2 linked regions of the Danio rerio genome follow. The protein of the gene in region 1 interacts with the protein of each later gene in a biochemical or structural test. Links are inferred from orthologs where the notes say so. Each region holds a gene or a part of one and is shown on either strand. Other genes may lie near its edges.

Region 1 (5,203 bases):
CACTGACACAATTAACAAGTTTAAATTTTCTAGACCTTCCATGTGAAGCTGCTTTGACACAATCTACATTGTAAAAGCGCTATAGAAATAAAGATGAATTGAAGTAAATGAGGATCAAAGGGTTTTGATCTTTGGACTTATTGTTCTGTGAAAATGTGAACTTTAAAAATGTGTTTAAACAAGAGAGAAATGTGTGGAAATGTTAATGCCTTTCTGAGAAAAGGTGGATTATTTATAATATGCAACTTCTGTGATTAACGAGGGACCACTGTATTGAGAAAAAAGACTTCTAATATTAATTTGCGCTGGTTAGTAAGTAGCATATTAAAATTTCTTTGTGAAATTTTTTCAAAAAAGGTTACCGGTAGCCCTTAAGCAACAAACATTTAAGTATTTTTTTTAGGTTTAGGAGTATTATAAACAGAAAATATAAGTATAAAATGAACAGAAATCATCGTGACGAAGACTATTTATTTAATATCTAACCTAAGTTTATTTATAAATCTAGTTGTGGGGTGTGCATTATACAGATACTCATATGCCTTTCATTTAGTAGTGATGTTGATGCCATTATATAATTCTCTTTGCATTATAAGTCTCTGTACATTTTAGATGAAGTGAAATACAATGTAATGTAGGGCTGCACGATATTAGAAAAAATCTGATATTGCAATATTTTATTGTTCTGCAATAAATAAGAGATAAAAGACAGTTTGAATAGTGCTGTTTGACGATTTGTATTCAGGTAGAGAAATTGAATAATTATAATGCAAAAAAAAAAAAGCTTACCTTTTGTCTTGTTTATGATCCAAATATCAAACAAATTATTTAGACAAAGTAAAATATTGTTTTGTTTTCACCGTCAGAAGACATAAATGTAAGTTTAAGAGTAAATGATCTGCCAGTGGGGCAAGTGAAATCTTGTTTTTGCTTTGAAATTGATATTTGGACTAGAAACTAACTAAAAAGTAAGAAAGGTTTTTTTTTTTCTTGCATAAATCGTATACATGCAGTGATTAAATACAATTCTGTGGCTCCTGGTCAGCTATAATTCAGACTAGACATTGCATATCTTTGCAATGTGACTATTGCAAATGCGCACATTGGGATATCGATGCTTAAATGACATATTGTGCAGCCCTAATGAAATGTTTACAGTCTAATTGTGTGCTGTTTATGTGGAAGGTGTCGAAGATGATGACAGTAAAAACGCTGATGACATCACGTTCAGCACACAGACGGGCCCTGCGTGGGCAGGATCAGAAAGAGATTACACTTATGATGAGGTAAATGGCAGAAAAGGCTGGCTTGCTGTGTGTGTGTTTCAGGTGATGAAGGCCCAGAGACTTCTGCCATCTGGTCCATTTATTGGCAGAGTATATTTTACCTGCTAACTTGTCTTTTATGAGACATACTGGAAATGACTACTGATATGCGGAGGATTTTTATTGGTTGTAGTCAGTTCGTTGTAGAAGTCAGTTCTCATTAAGATCACATGCATGTAGTTTATCATGAAAACTGTAGATGTGCTCCAGCAACCTTGGACAACCAGAATGTTGCAAAATACAATTTTAGTTTAGTTCAATAGTCATTTTTTATTTAAACTTAGACACATCTGTTGTTTTAGTGTTAAAATAAACAAACATTTTAATACAGAATAAAAGCTTGCCATGTCTAGGCATGGGCCGGTATAAGATGCTGACGGTATGATAACCTTGGATAAAAATATCACAGTTTTACGGTATTGTAATTACTGCTCTAATATATGCTCTTTTTAAATGTCTGGATAAAAAAAAAACGTTTTCCCCTTTCAAACACGATGTATTTTATTTTAAGAAACATTTAAAATATTTTGGAGCAGTAAACATGTCAGGCTATAATTTAAGTTAAATATTGACTTCAGCTGTCTTCATTTATGTCAAAAGCAGATTTTTTTTCTCACAATTTAAAACACCATCTTTGGATATCTTTTACTGCTGGAGATACTGTTGTCCTTAAAAAAAGTTTTAAAGTTTTGAGTTTTAAAACCTTTCTTTTTCAAACGGCAGTGTATAGACCCATGTCAACAGCACAACCCAAACTCTTCCAGGCCACAACTACAACTTATAGACAAGCCATATACAAATTTGGTAAAGCTTCCTACAGGGTGCCCATAGGCTCCTAAAGTTTTAAAATGTCTTTAATTTAAAAAAACAATTTAGGCCTTAAAATCTTAAATTCACTGAAATATTGTGTCATCGGTCTTAAATCATTTTAAGCAGGTCTTGATTTTCCTAGGTCCATGTAAAGCTACCCAATCGGTCCAACATCCATCACTAATAATCCATCTCAAATTTTTTTTATATACGTTTATATTGTTTTTTTAATATTTTATTTATAATGTTTTAAAAATATCTATTTTATATGTTTTTACATATATTTTTATATTTATTGCAAATAATACAATTCACAACAGCTGTTTCTCACATTTTTACAGCAAATTGTCTTAATCCGGGAAAGAAAACTAAAGCAACACATCCCTTTACATAATCTTCCATTAATACAAAAGCTATTAACAGAAGCAACTGGGCCATTAGAAAAAATCTTTAGTGTTTAACTCCGTATAAGTCCAAAATTTTATTTATAATAGTCTTAAAAATTTATTAAAAAGTCTTAAATTTGACTTTGAGAGGAAAAATAAGTGAAATCCCTCTCCCAAATATAAAAAAAATAAATCAGGGGTATGACTGACAATTCTCAAAATAAAGACACAAAAGTTGGAGTACCAACTTTTTTGTCAGCAAAGAGCAGCTCAACAAAAAACAACTACTTCATACTTTATACGCAAGTGTCCCCATACAAATTTGTTCAAAAGCTATTTTTTCAAGTATTTGGATAAATTGATCACATACTAAGTCAATAAAAATATTTGTGACAGGTGATGTGAATTATGTGACATATTTGAAAATTATTTAACTGGAGAGGAAGTGTTTGGATGAGGCGAACAGCATCTCTTAGGTAATCTAGAGTAAATGTTGTAATGTTTATGTTAGTGGGAACCCAGTATGAGACTTGAAAGTAATGAAGACTTCTTTCAGGCAGTTCAGAACTGATTCTTTCCTTTGAGCCAGTAACACCTTTAATCCTGCAGTTTGATCTTAGAAATTTTAAAGACCTTTTACATTTAGAATCCGCTTTATTAAAGCTACATGAATTGTAATATCCAAAAAAACAATGTGGGGTCACATTAAAACGGAAACTATTTTTTTTTTTTTACTGTGGATGTAACCATTTACCTAATTTATAATTAAATAAGACTGACAATACAGATCTCAAGATATGATTTTTTTCACAAAATGAATTGAGATATGAAAGGAAAAAGTGGCCTTTTATTAGTTCTGAAATACTGCACATTTCTTAGTACAATAAAAATATACACTCACCTGCCACTTCATTAGGTACACCTGCCCAACTGCTCGTTAACGCAAATTTCTAATCAGCCAATCACATGGCAGCAACTCGGCATGTTGACATGGTCAAGACAATTTGCTGCAGTTCAAACCGAGCATCAGAATGAAAAAACAAAGGTGATTAAAGTTATTTTAAATGTGCTGATCTTCTGGGGTTTTTACGCACGGCCATCTCTAGGATTTACAGAGAATGGTCTGAAAAAGAGAAAATATTCAGTAAGTGGAAGTTGTATGGGCGCAAATGCCTTGTTGATGCCAGAGGTAAGAAGAGAATGGCCAGACTGGTTTTAGCTGATAGAAAGGCAACAGTAACTCAAATAACCACTTGCCAAAGTCTACACAAGAGCGTCTCAGAACACACAACATGTCCAACCTTGAGGTGGATGGGCTACAGCAGCAGAAGACCACACTAGGTGCCACTCTGTCAGCTAAGAACAGGAAACTGAGGCTACAATTTGCACAGACTCACCAAAATTGGACAATATAAGGTTGGAAAAACGTTGCCTGGTCTGATGAGTCTCGATTTCTGCTGCAACATTCGGATGATAGAGTCAGAATTTTGCGACAACAGCTTAAAAGCATGGATCCATTCTGCCTTGTATCAACAGTTCAGGCTGGTGGTGTTGGTGGTATAATGGTTTGGGGGATTTTTTTTGGCACACTTTGGTCCCTTTAGTACCAATTGAGCATTGTCAACGCCACAGCCTACCCGAGTATTGTTGATGACCATCTCCATCCCTTATGACCACAGTCTACACATTTTATGATAGCTACTTACAGCAAGATATTGCGTCATGTCACTATCAATCCAATGGAGCACCTTAAATTATTTTAATTTCTCAGAAATTAAAACAGAGTTTGCAGCAAACATAATGGTCCCCCACTGTAGTACAATTTGTCTAACTTCACATATTTTAATTGAGTTTCAACTGGATTATGGGGAATCATTACATCCCTGTTCTTCATGTTAAGCATTTTTCCTGACACCAATACATTTGATTACTCTTGAGACTAAATAATGAGTTTATAAATAATTATAGTTTGTTAAATAATGACTGGTTGCATCAGCTCTTAAGATTAAAGGTGACTGAAAATATCACATGATTTTAGCTTTTGAACAGGGTCTTTAACATCATGAGGGAAAAGAATCCAGACATGGTCGCCGGAGAAAAGAGGAAGTTTGTGATGAAGCCTCCTCAGGTGGTGCGGGTCGGCACTAAGAAGACCTCCTTCGTAAACTTCACAGACATCTGCAAACTGTGAGTCAAGCAGACGCTGCGTTTTCTGGATTGAGTTTGTTTAGTGAATACATGGAAAATCAACCATTTCTCATAATTTTTATAGTTCATAATCCTCCAATTCTGCTTTTATTTTGACAGGTTGCATCGACAGCCAAAACATCTTTTGGCTTTTTTGTTGGCTGAGTTAGGTACAAGGTAAGTTTATTATATATTATTAATATTGGCTCTTCCCATAATTACAGAATAACTAGTTTTTAAAGATGAGAGATGCTTTTTTTTGAGAATTAAACTATTATTTAGCATGAAAATCAGCATTTCATGACAAGCCCCAGGTTTTCAGCCCTTAACATATCTGTTGAATCAACGTTCAGTGTATTCCAGTAAAAACGTTTAAATCATTATCACAAAAATGTTTTTCTAGGGAGCGACAGCTTACCTTTGTACTTCGTTCCAGGAAAGAGCTGCTTATGCTGTTCTGTCCATATATTATTATATAATCTGTAAGTGAACTGT
Region 2 (5,203 bases), on another chromosome or scaffold:
CATAAATCAGAACCGCACTGCTCTTAAAGTGACAGCATGCAATATTCCTGCTGCCGACTGTTTTTAATATTAATCAAACAACAAAAGGAGAAAATCACTCACTGCTCTTGACTGAAGGAATTTTTAGTTATAATTTTTTTCTAATAAAAAAGTTTTTTTCTTACAGTAAAGAACGATGCTTGAGACGCAATTTGTTTAATATTTTTACTCTATTGTATTTATTTCCCTTTACTTATTTACAGGGAGAAAATTAACTGTATATATACAGTTAAAGTAGGAATTCTTAGCAGCCCTTTATATTTTTCTCCTAATTTCTGTTTAGCGGAAAGATAGATTTAATAACTCATTTCTAATAACTGATTTCTTTTATCTTTGCTATGGTGATGGCAAATAATATTTTACTAAATATTTTTCAAGATACAAGCATACAGCTCAAAGTGCAGTTCAAAGGTCTTAACTGGGTTAATTAGGCAAGTCATTGTATAACAATAGTTTCTTCTGCAGAAAATCTGAAATAGGCTTTAAAATATTTAAACCAGCTTTTATTCTGGCCAAAATAAAACAAAATACTTTTTCTAGAAAAAAAAATATTATAGGAATTACTGCGAAAAATTCATTGCTCTGTTAAACATCACTTGGGGGAAAAAAATTGATGGGCGAATAATTTTGACTTCAATTGTATATCGTTTTGAATAATCGTGATTTCAATTATGTCCAAAATAATCATGATTATGAATTTTCCCATAATCGAGCAGCCCTAATACCATCCGCATTTTACTTTTCATTTTTACAGCGAATCAGTTTGAGTAAATGCAGACAATGCAATTATTTTTATGTTTTTATTTTATTTATTGTTTTTTTAAATTACCTATAACATGTCAAGTATCACTCGCTCACTTTCCTTCTGCTTAATAATACATTTTATTTTTAATTTGCTTTTCTTAGACTTAAAGTTCTACAAGGCAAAATACCAACCATAGCAGAAACAGCACAACAATAAAAAGATGCAATAAGAATATGAACCATAAAATGTAATTAGCATTTGTTTACAGGTGATGGAAATTATTATTGTAATAAGAAAAAGTTATTATAATACTTTTTCCACTTTTCACAAGAACATTTAAAATGTAATTTTGCCTTTAACAAGATGCTTGTTATTTTCCATTTTTGACAAGGATATATGGATAAATAATTACATTTAAAATAAAGCAATCGTTCAGTAATCAAAATTGAGGTAAAATGTTTATTTAATGGATGTTTTAATTTTAGGTCATATCGCCTGGCCCTAATTTTGTAGAATGTTATAAACTGGTAGTCTTTGGCTTTCATGGTTTTCTTTTCCTACTATTGATGTCAGTGGCTAAGGATTTTCAACATTTTTTTTAAAATGTCATTGTGAAAAAACTAACAAGCAATTACAATAGAGGTTGAGTAAATGTAGATATGTTTTTGTGTCAACCACCTCTTTGTGTTTTTTTTTTTTTTTTTTTTTGTAGGGATCCAGCTATATTAGATTGTCTGGAATTGACAGAGGAGGAACGAGCAGTCCTGATTGATAACATCAACAGACGCCTCACTCCACAGGCTGTCAAAATCCGAGCAGACATTGAGGTGGCCTGCTATGGGTATGAGGGCATCGATGCAGTGAAGGAGGCTTTGAGAGCAGGACTAACATGTTCAACAGAGTGCATGCCCATCAAGGTAAAAACTAGACCACAAATTATTTCAGATATGTCAGTTCATTCATATATAACATCCCTGAAATTTGATGTCCCATATTGAGTCTCTGTATATGGACCATTCATACATGCAGTTAAAGTCTGAATTATTTGACACCTTGTTTATTTTTCCCCAATTTCTGTTTAACGGAGGGAAGATTTTTTCCAACACATTTCTAAACATAATAGTTTTAATAACTCCTTTCTAATAACTGGTTTACTTTATCTTTGCCATGATGACAGTAAATACTATTTGGCTTGATATATTTCAAGACACTTCTATACAGCTTAAAGTGACATTTAAAGGCTTAACTAGGCTAAGTAGGTTAACTAGGCAGGTTAAGGTAATTTGGTAAGTTATTGTATACCGATGGTTTTTTTGTTTAGACTATCGAAAAAATTATAGCTTAAAGGGTCTAATAATTTTGACCTCGTTTTTTTTTTTTTTTCTTAATTGCTTTTATTCTAGCCGAAATAAAACAAATAAGACTTTCTCCTGAAGAAAAAATATTATCAGACATACTGTGAAAATGTCTTTGCTCTGTTAAACATCATTTGGGAAATATAAAAAAAGAAAGAAAAAAAATCAAAGGGGGGCTAATAATTCTGACTTCAACTGTATTACATTCATGTTTAAATATTTGAACACTTTATTTATTTGTTTTGTTTTGATAAGGTGTTACACTGATAATACTGGAAGAATCATGGAGGAATAAAGAATGTAATTTGTTTTGTAGTGTGGTATTTTATATTATTATATATACTGCATGATAAGAAAACATACATAGCAAATAGTCTTTAAAAATGTGGTCATAATGACAAGATAAATCAAGTTATTAAATTACGATGTAGTAATTACACAGAAGCAAAATTCTTTCTATATCAATTTTCCTGAGTAGCACATTAATATAATATCAGTATTGTGCAATTTTTGTTTTGAACCCAAGATGTTTTATTTTGTCAATGAAGAAAGTTTAAGAAAAGGATCAATTTGTGTATCTCAGTAAACATTGCAGTATTTAGTTGTGGACTAAATCTGTTTTTACAGGGCACCTATGATCACAATCATTATTTGTAAGCTGTTTGGACAGAACCATTTGTAGGAATAGTGTGTCCACAGTCATATTGGAGTGATAGAGACACAATAATTCTTTTGTTTTAATTTTCTGACGTTATATATAGGATCCAAATCCCTCACATTTTGAGGCCGACCGTAATGTAGGAGTGCTGTTTTCCCGCCCACCGAATTGATTGACATCCGCGTTTTAACATGTCTCCTTACTAGTAACGTGTATAATCATATCCACAAGACAAGATGTGCGCAAAGCAACTGCAGTTAAAAGATCTGTTCAGCTCTGTGTTCAGCAGCACCTCAAGAAAGAATTTTACAGGATTTAAACATTTATAAAACGGTGCATGTTTGTACTAAAGACAGTACAATCACTGTGTAGTTCTTCACCACAGCCGCGTGTCAGTACAATTGCGGACCATTGATAAATCAGGAGGAAAATTAATAATGTTTTTATTGCAGATCAACTTGATTGCTCCTCCTCGATATGTTATGACCACGACCACACTGGAGCGCACAGAGGGCCTTTCTGTGCTCAATCAAGCCATGGCCGTCATTAAAGAGAAGATCGAAGAGAAGAGAGGCGTCTTCAACATTCAGATGGAGGTCAGAATTTAGCATTTAAAATTCACTGTTTACTTACCCTCAATTTATCCAAACTTTTATGATTTTTTTTAAAGAATGCAGTAAACCATGTGTATGTATGTTTTAAGTCTATTTTTTAAAATGTCTAATCCATAACGCTGGAATTGCTTAGCTTTGCACATGCTGGGCAGTTCACAGTGGAAATCTGATATTGGCCACATTTAAAACAACAAAGTGAAGAGCTATGCAAAATAAATAAATCCCTCTCTGATTATTTGACTTGTTTTAATGCCCCTGAAGCCAAAAGTTGTGACGGACACGGATGAGACGGAGCTGGCACGACAGTTGGAGCGGCTGGAGAGAGAAAATGCTGAGGTGGATGGAGATGATGATGCAGAGGAAATGGAGGCCAAGACTGAGGACTAGTCTGAAGAAAGACGACAAACCAGCAGTGCTATAATCATTCCAGAGACTTCAGAGTTATAGTGAAGGGGTTATCACATCATGAAGACTGAAAAAAAACACTGCTTCTGTGATACTAAGCAGATTGTGAGTGAGAGATGTGGACTACATTGATGTACTTTTGCTTATCGGATGAGAATCGTGAGAGGAATTTCTTCCATGAACACTAGTTTTACTTTAGGAATGTTAGTACAGATAGTATTGTAGTTGATTTAAGTGACCTTCGTTTCCAGCTTTATTCAAGATGAGATTTGTGGTAAAAAAAAACAAACAAAAAAAAAACAAGCAAAACTGAAATCTTTATAGACAGCCAGCCAGTTTACTTATCAAAAATCTGTTCCACAGAGCTAATAAAAACAAGCAGTTTTCATGTACATTTTGTCATGTCTCTTGTTCTGTGCTGCTGATTACATCAAAGATTATTCAAGATGATAACTTCTCTCACTTGGATGTATTTTTCTAAACAGGAAAGTGGTATATTGGCAGATATTGTTTCTTTTGTTACAATTTGTAACAAATTTTTAAAAATGTGTAATTTTATTATTATTATTATTATCATTATTATTATTAAGAAATAAGAATAAATGTCTGGGGGGCTCCAACTATTTTTGGTAGTATATTGTAAAACCCAACAGTCAACTTTCTGAAATTAAATGAGTGTAGTTAACTCAAACTTTGAAATTTATTTTGAAAAGAGTTTGAACTGTGTTGAAGGTAATGAGTTAATTAGATACCTCATTACTTCAACTTAAATTGAGTAAGTTAACAGTACTCATAAAGATTAGTTTTTTAACTCAAAGGTTTGAGTTGATTTAACTTGTTGGGTTTTACAGTACTGTTGGTTTAAGTTCTCTTCATTTATATTGTTTTGCTGTGCTCAAATATCTTCGTTTACTCAAATGGATTAAGTTCACAGTACTCATTAGGAATAGTTTTTGAACTTTTATGGTTTGTTGCACTCAGCTTCCTCAAATGGATTGAGTTACCTTAACTTTTTGGGTTTTACAGTGTAGTTTGGTCATACTTGCTTCAGTGAATCAGATTTATGAATGTGTTTAAATCAATGTTTTAAGGGATATTTAGTGACTTTTAGAGGTTATTGGTCAAACTATACAAACTGTCTTTTTTTCGCTACATGCAGATATAAAGACCTGTTTTACAAGAAACGTGTTTTGTGAATATTTAAGATGTCTATCAGTGCTCTGGAACTGCCAGTTTCGGGTTGAATCATATTTTTCCTAGCATTGATTGGCGCATTTATGCATTCACAATGGTATGAACTGTTATTGGGGGATCAAATGTAAATGTATATAATACATTTTTAATTATTAATACTTCAGATATAGATCCGAGATCAGAGAAAGCTATT

What was found. The genes of interacting proteins can lie anywhere in the genome.
Region 2: the proteins of eif2s2 (region 1) and eif2s1a form a complex in vitro, tested with the Homo sapiens proteins (2 studies listed by BioGRID and IntAct). The link is inferred for Danio rerio from reciprocal best matches to the Homo sapiens genes EIF2S2 and EIF2S1.

The regions. Positions count from the first base shown.
Region 1 is NC_133181.1:52,638,830-52,644,032, forward strand, and holds part of eif2s2 (eukaryotic translation initiation factor 2 subunit 2), read left to right. Parts: intron 1-1,185; coding exon 1,186-1,286; intron 1,287-4,559; coding exon 4,560-4,708; intron 4,709-4,828; coding exon 4,829-4,885; exon of another isoform or gene 4,886-5,203.
Region 2 is NC_133192.1:35,959,071-35,964,273, forward strand, and holds the end of eif2s1a (eukaryotic translation initiation factor 2 subunit 1a), read left to right. Parts: intron 1-1,496; coding exon 1,497-1,701; intron 1,702-3,249; coding exon 3,250-3,393; intron 3,394-3,672; coding exon 3,673-3,798; 3' UTR 3,799-4,208; downstream 4,209-5,203. UniProt on the Homo sapiens protein: Member of the eIF2 complex that functions in the early steps of protein synthesis by forming a ternary complex with GTP and initiator tRNA. This complex binds to a 40S ribosomal subunit, followed by mRNA binding to form a 43S pre-initiation complex (43S PIC).